Nothobranchius furzeri: one gene and its partner. The protein of the gene in region 2 interacts with the protein of the main gene of each other region in a pairwise test. Links are inferred from orthologs where the notes say so. Each region holds a gene or a part of one and is shown on either strand. Other genes may lie near its edges. The genes, in order: smad9 and lemd3.

What was found.
Region 1: the proteins of lemd3 (region 2) and smad9 interact in binary tests that used the Homo sapiens proteins (3 or more experiments, as listed by UniProt). The link is inferred for Nothobranchius furzeri from reciprocal best matches to the Homo sapiens genes LEMD3 and SMAD9.

The regions. Positions count from the first base shown.
Region 1 is NC_091750.1:62,624,755-62,629,206, forward strand, and holds the start of smad9 (mothers against decapentaplegic homolog 9), read right to left. Parts: upstream 2,837-4,452; 5' UTR 2,620-2,836; coding exon 2,424-2,619; intron 719-2,423; coding exon 503-718; intron 424-502; coding exon 163-423; intron 80-162; coding exon 1-79. UniProt on the Homo sapiens protein: Transcriptional modulator activated by BMP (bone morphogenetic proteins) type 1 receptor kinase. SMAD9 is a receptor-regulated SMAD (R-SMAD).
Region 2 is NC_091741.1:64,250,908-64,254,450, forward strand, and holds the end of lemd3 (inner nuclear membrane protein Man1), read right to left. Parts: intron 3,488-3,543; coding exon 3,385-3,487; intron 2,687-3,384; coding exon 2,523-2,686; intron 2,273-2,522; coding exon 2,191-2,272; intron 2,097-2,190; coding exon 1,991-2,096; intron 1,833-1,990; coding exon 1,754-1,832; intron 911-1,753; coding exon 741-910; 3' UTR 527-740; downstream 1-526.

The DNA of each region.
Region 1 (4,452 bases), on a different chromosome or scaffold from region 2:
GTTTCTGTGGGGTTGTTTGGCTTAACGTCATCTTGGGAATTAGTCTCCATCATGCTGTAGGGAGGAGGAGGAGTCTCAGCTGGAAAAGCAAATCACATAAAAAGTAAAGGACACACATTCATCAGCGTCCAAATCAACACATCTTGAACCTTTGATTCTTACCTGTTACGTGATATGGACTACCAGGCTCTGCAGAGCTGCTGGGGGAGTTGGGGAAACTCTGCGAGGTGGGCGACTGGGCGAGGGATGAAGCCGGTGATGAAGAGGAGAAGGAGGAGCAGGGCAGTGGAGGGAAGGAGTCTGGGTAGGTGGCGTTCTGGGGCATCAGTGGCTCGTTGTTCAAGGAGGCACTTCTAAACTTGGCCAGTAAACTGTGCTGCGGGTTGTACTCACTGTGACGTGGAACAAGAACTGGTGGAAGCACTAAAGAACGGGAGACAATAAATAAAAACTTAAGACTCAAGAACAAAACATAAGAAATTTAGAAATAATATCTAAATACCTGGAGTCTCTACTCGTCTGTAGTGGTAGGGATTGACGCAGATGTCTTTCTGCTTGGAGCCGAAGGGAAACTCGCAGCATTCGAGGGCCTTCAGCTCATGGTGGGACTGGAGGTCTGGCCAGCGCCACACCCTGCAGTAGATCACATGGGGCAGACCCTTCCTATGGGACACCTGCAGCCTTCCGTCCAGTGATCGTGGAATGGTAACACATTTACCTGAGGCATCAAAATCATCAACAAAACTTTAAAGCAACACTTAAGAGTTTTTATCACTTTAAGCTACTGCTTTCAAACTGGTTTCAGTGATTCTTGAAGCAGAAACTAGACCAAGTGTTCACTGAACAGCGTAACACTTTTGTGGCACAGGTAGGTGCACTAGGGGGAGCTCTCTACCTGCTTTATGGCTGTTTACATTGACCGTTGCTAATATAAATGCTGGCAGTTAGCTTTTTCAGTTTGCTGACCATCAAGAAAAAAAAAGAAAATATTGCTCTTCCGTTGGCATCATGGCCGAGTCTGGAAGTAAAAGTAAGAGTAATGTCTTTTAAGGTAAAGCAAAGAGCTAAAACCAGAGTGAACATCGGTGTGGCCTACATTAGTTTGAGGGATCTGAAGGATACTATGAAGTCACAGACTGATGGTGACCTGGCTTTGTTGCTACTGAACTTGTGAGTAAGGACATTTTTGGTCCAACAATGTGGATCTTTTTACTTAGTGGCTTATTTAGTATCAGTTGGCCCATTTTAGTGTTAGCTCATTGTTAGTGCCACAGCAGGCTGCGGCAGAGTTGTTTACGACCGTTGTAATTCCACTTTCAACCAGTAGGAGGGAGAAGTAGGGAATCTGATCTAGTGTGGCTTTAAATCTATTGTTGTTTGAAGGAGTGCTCAATTGCCAGAGAGTACATGGCCCAATCCCAATACTCGCACTTCCACGCTTGTGCCCTATTGGAAAATCATGACCAGGGGTGCTAGTGCATAGGGTGCCCTCTCAAATGCGGAAGTTGGTCACGCCCCTTTTGCACCCTTGAGTCATTGATGCAGACTTGGGTGAAGGGTATTACCCACAATCCATTGCTGTAAGACAAAAGGCTCAAGTTACATTTCTGAAAATATGTATTTTCTAATGAAATAGTTCATTTTAGGACGATTAGTTGATGCTCTGAAACTTTTACACAAAGCAGCAACAAATGTAAATTTATTTCAGATGATTGTTTGGTTGTTTGAAAGTTGTTAAAGGTTTTTTTTTTTTAAGTATTACAGCGACCAGCATCCCGGCATGCATTATGGTCTATAACGCAATGCTCCCTGTCTCAATTCAGCAATTATTTGCACACGCGTGTACCACACACTCGAAGTCTTACTTTGCCTTTGACTCCCTTATCCAGGTGGCAAGAGCTCCTGCTATACAAAAAAAAATCTTCTCCTTTTAGCTACACAAGGCCAGGAAAACAAGTTTTCAATGTGGCAAACAACTTTGAATTAAAATGGATATACAGGAATCTGTAATCAGAGAAGTTAGGAGAAATAAAAACAAAAAGAAACCATTTTGATGAATATGGGAGTCTGTTATTTTAGGTGGTATTTGATCTAATAAAAACCTTTGAGATAAAATCCCTAATAATTCACTCACATCTAAATATTCTATCTAACTAAATGTTGCTTTTTAAAGTCAAATTCACATAAAAATGGAAACAACTTTATTTTCTATGTCCACTTCATTTTGTTCAGGGTCAAAAAGCATCTGGATACTATTTGTTTCTAGAGCAGTAGTTTGATTACAATATTTCATAAATTTGGAAGTCTTCCATTAACTTACAAATATCCCAAGTTTAAATTAAAATCATAAAACACACAAAAATGGAATACCCTTCTGAACACCGCACTCCCTTATGTTAGGGTAATCATGTAAACACACTCACTGGGCTGCCCAGGACAGCTGAGGGCCCGCTCCAGCTCCTCCATCGCACCCTTCTTCTTCTTTAGTTTTTTCACTAAAGAATCCACAGCCTTCTCTGCCCACTTCTCCTCCTCATCACCTTGCTTCCAACCGAGCAGGCGCTTCACCGCCGGACTGGTGAAGGAGAACAACGACGTGATGGAGGTGGAGGAGTTCATTTTGAGATGAGTAAACAGGTGGCTAAATGAGCTGATAGGTCTGGTTAAAGAGATAATAGTTCCCTTGGGGACAGGGGTGAAGAGGCAACCGATGAGTAGCCACCACTAAGAAGAAGCAAAGAAAAAGCTTGATGGCTTTGTGTAAAGTTTTTTTCCTCTTCCTTTTGTATTCCGCTGTAACTTCCGAGCAGCTCTGGCGAGGGAGTTGAACTCCAGCCAGAGCTGTGCAAACCCTAAATCCTTTCTCTGTGTTGGCACAGAAGGGATCAGCGGCTTGGGATTTCAGAGCCTCCTGCAGGGATGGGTACTCCTCACATCGCCAGGAATCCGGGTCAAGTTTCAGTCATCTGGCAAAAGACATGAGACACTATTAACCTCAACAAATACACTGGGGAACGGTGGGATGGGAGGTTGGATAGCAGAAAGACCTTGAGGTCAGACCTGAAGAGATGAGACTAAACACCTCAGAACCAGAATCTACAGCAAGCAGGAGGAATACACAGAGCGCCTGCATAAGATCGCCCCCCCACCCAACCCCCTCACATGCTGAACAACATTATTTTTCTCTAAGGGGAAAATGAAATGCAAAACAAAACTTGCGTCAAAAAGTGCAGGCCAAGATGGCCAAGCTCATTCCCCAACAATGAGGAATGTCCTTTCTGGCCTCTGTTTCTATGATCATGCCACTGACGCCCAGGAGCCATACTGTCTGGCCAGAACACATCACAGAGCAGGAGGGGGAGACAGGGAGGGAGACAGACACAGGGCTTGTGTTTGTGTCTTACTGGACTAAATATTACCCAAATACCTGGAAAGAGGTTCAAAAGTATCATCAAAAACCACCTCTTGATTTCCTAAATACTCATGCAGGAAAGGTTCAAGACACAAATTGAAGTTTAGAACTTGTTTATCTTCCTTAAATGTAGTTTATGCTCAAAGAAAACATACTTTTGCACATCATCACTTCCCTCCTGCCAGCAGACGCCCTCCTTTTGCTCATTATGCATCTTTATAATTATGTTTTTCTGCAGCTGAAACTGACTTTTGAAAAGCTTTTTACATAGATAAGAAAAAATGTTAGAATAAGTTCAATCACTACGCTCTCATGGGTCGTACCTTGTTTGTGTTGGAAATGTGAGAAGCACTAGCTCCTGAGACAGGCAGACAGCTGAGGAGGTTTTAACAATGACGACAAAAAGCTGCATCACTCAGTCGCTGCCGCTGCTGCTTTATGGAGCCTGGCGTCATTCAGTCTGCAGCCTCAGATAGGCTAATTACCTAATGCTTTATCACCAGAACACCCCATCCCAAAAAAGTAAACACGCCAGCTTCCTTTTACTATCACTGCATCCAGTCATGATGCTGAGGCAAAACCCAGGTCCGGCTCTAGACTCTTTATTCTCACGCCTTGGCGGTCATCATAAACATGAAAAAACCATCCAAAATCAACATTGTAATTCTTATTTCCAAAGTTTCATGAGATTCACGAGAAAACACGGGCAATTTATAATTTCGAAATATTGTATGTTATAAAGTATATTTAACCATATTTAACTGCACTTAATTATGAAAAAAGCGCGCGCACACACACACACACACACACACAATATATATATATATATATATATATATATATATATATATATATATATATATATATATATATGTATGTATGTATATATGTATGTATATAACGACAACAATCTGATATTTCCCAAATATGTAAGTCTATAACATGTTATATTTTTCATAATAAATGTGAGACAGCTTTACCTTTGTTATGATAACAAGTGCGCAGCAGCGTCACCGTGGAGGCTTCCAGTCTGTAGAGGT
Region 2 (3,543 bases):
AAGTGGGAACTGATCACAGCAGCAGCGGAGACCGACTCAGGTGGCGTCATGATGAATAAGAACTTATGGGTGAGGATTCCTGCAACCTGGAGGTCACATGCACACACACGAAAGTAAAAACATCACATTTAAGATGAACAACTCAAGGAAAGAGGGTAAGTTACATAAATCCTGGACAATAGAACTTGGAATTACATTAGAATTAGTTTAAAGGCTTCATGTGACTGGAAAACATGAGCTCTGTAGGATCTCAATCGGTGTTCAAAGAAAGCTGGAATAAAGGAAATAAAACGAAAACAAGGTCGAGTCTTCCAGCTTCAGTGGTTGTTCTGATTTTAGTGTGTGTATGTGTGTGTGTGTTCTGATAAAGCTTGTGCTTCTAACTGCATTAAGAGCAGAAAGTTTTGATTTTAACAGTTTAAAAACAACTTCCACGTGAGACCGATGTGTCTGACTCTGTAACTAACAGAAGCAAACCCAGTGGGTTGAACTGTGGAAGAGGAGAGAGGATTGGTCTACAAACAGATAAAATACTCAAAGATTTTATTCTGACACTTGAAATATACAGTTTATATGTTATAACAGAACGTGCTCCACTCTGCTGCTTCTCTTTCGTATCCGCAGTGTGGAATAAAAATAATAATAATCCAATAGCAGGAGCAAAAGTCCTGAAGGTATTAAAATAGTGAGTGGGCCCAGCAGCAGAGTTCTGGGAGGAAAAAAGCAGAACAGCAGATGTCTCAGGAGAAGCTGGAAGAGCTGACTGACTCGTGCTGTTGATGGTAAGCTGCAGCGTTCGTGCTGTTCTGGTGGAGGCTGGAGGCCTTCAGGGGCGTGCTGCAGCCCTGGGCCTGTGGGAAGCGCTGGTGGTACCGGTCCAGACGCAGGTATTTAACCGTCACCAGCTTACCTGTGGAGCAAAAGCAGAACTTGAGAAAACTGAGCTGCCTCACAAAGATCAAATATCTCAACCAGAACACGTTCTGCCAAAACAGTTTCACTCTGCAGGAAATAGAAAGCAACTAAAATAAATAATTAAATCTAAATAAAGTCTAATGTGACACCAAGATGGAGAAATATATTCAAATGTTAAAACCAGAAAAACCAGCTACATATTCACACAGGTGTGCTTATAGATGTGGGAGGGGCTTAATCCCTGCTGATTGTTTTTATTTTCATAGTTATACTTTGAATCAATCTCACAGGACCGGTTTTAAACCAGACCGGAGCTAAAGAACAGAGCCTGAAGAGTTTCCAACAAGTCACCAAGCATCCTGACCAGAGACCTCCGGGCCTAGGTTTGAGGTTTGCTCTGAGCTTCCGTTTCAACATCCTACAGTAAACCTTTCCAGAGAGGATGAGTGTTATGATCCTCTGTCTGATCCCTGATTAGTGAGCAGGTTTGATCAGGTTCAACCTAAAAAAAACTACAGGAACTCAGGTGGCAGAAGAGGGCGGGAGTCTGGGTGTGTTGATCCCCAGAGATATAAAGTGGCTTTAAGTGAGCAGATCACCAGTCTCTTACTGGTGATCTGCTGGTCCTTGGGTATAGATTTATCAGCCTGTGCATCAAATATTATGTGGTGGCAGCATTTTAACACATCAGCCCAGAAACGAGCTGAAAGGATCAATGAGGCCAGTGAGACTAGAGACCCCATCCCCCCCCCCCCCCCCCCCCCCCCCAATCCTCTTAAGTCAGATTGATAACCCTACATGTGATATCTAAATAGAACATCAGACGCGTTTGGTTTACCATCAAACCAGGAGCCGTGGAGAGCTTTGAAGGCTTTCCCTGAGTGTTCTGGAGATAGACACTTCATATACACACACCCCTGTGGAGACAAGAGCATCGCATTACTATATGTGGAGCCAAACGGGTGTCTTCAGGACATTTCAGGTGGACCACATGAGCCTGTATAAGAAATGTTGGGAGACGTAGGGCCCATCGGACCTCTTTAGGACATTAGGAATGACTGTGTCTCACTCATACCTCACGTGAGTTCTTGTCAACAGCAACATGAACAATACCATCGTTGTCACTGCACTTCTCCAGGATGGCTTCTTGAATGGCTAAATCCCAGTGATCTCCAACCTCGCTGAACACAGTAAAATGAAATAATTATGAATTAAAACCACGTGTGAGAATCCAAAGTCAAAACAAGAACAAAGTGAAGGTGGAAATGAACTCACATGACCGGGTCAAACATATTCCTTATCTTCAGACATGGAGTGAGGCTGTTGGGAGGGGAATTCCTCCGGTCCAAAGGGAAAGCTGGAAACAAGGACGAGCTTTAACAACACACAACGATCTTCCGATTATCTCAGCTGCTCATGTTGCCCTGAGCTGAGGCTCTCGGGTCTGCTGCGTCGAGCAGACTATGGCATCAGTAACAAACATGGTTCCTGCAGGAAACAACCAAAGAACAAGAACCAGAACCAACCCAAAGTGCTGCTCACCCCCAAACACATGACAACATAGAGATGTAACCAAAGGAACCACCATTAGGATTTGAATGAGTCACCTTTTCCCTGCCATCCTTTGGATTTGTCACAACTGAGAGAAGGCTGGATCCACCTCCACACCAGGAAATCTGCTCCATCAATCCTCTGATTCTCCGTTCGAATCCTCGACTCATTGGCTGAAAGAAATCTCACGGCCCGCTCCCAGACCTTCTTCATCCTCTTCCTGTAAAGCAAACACATTCCTGACACATCCTCCAAAAGGTCAACGCACCGTTTCTGCTGCTCAGCAGGACCTAAATGTTCTGTAGTTATTCAGTTTTTTCCCCCGTCATTCAGGGGTCCGCTCCAGCAGAAAGTTCTTGAACGTGGTCCCGTTGGGTCATACAAAAAGTGAAACAGGAAACTTGTCTAAGCGCTTCATGTTCAGGTCGCCTGGTTGAACAGGAGCTGGTTCTACTGGTCCTCCTCTCCTCCCTTCTGTTGGGCCTGGTCTGAACCAAAAGACCCAAAGCCTTTTCACACAAGAGTTCTGAGATATGACTGAAATGGGTCCTGCTCCTCTTGGAGCGGTAGGACTGGATTGGGCCACAGAACCAGTCCCTAGTTTCTAAAATGGTTTTAATGTTCAGAACTCAGCAAGATGTTCAGAAAGTTAATAAAAAAAGATGATCACTCTTACATCTGATTAAATGAGGTGTATTGTGAACGGGTTTGAACTTTAACAGGTGGGTCCAACAAAACCAGAGTCTAGGAAACCCTGACCAGGACCAGATCTACTGGACCACCTGGTTCTGAGGGTTTAAAATAATTATTTTTATCATTATTAATAATAAAAACGGAACCAGGTAGATGAGCTCAGTCTGCTGAGTGAGAACAAACACGACGACACAGGGGACACAAGGAGGTACGGCTGGTACTCACCGGTCCTGAGGAAGAACCAGGGAGTCCCTGACATGTGGGATGGGAAGGTACGGCTGCAGCTCCTGGTTCTCCTGACAGGACTCACCACGAGTCCTCAAAACATCTGAACAAAAACAGCAGAATTAGGAGATTTAAGGGTCTTTATCAAATTTTATCCTG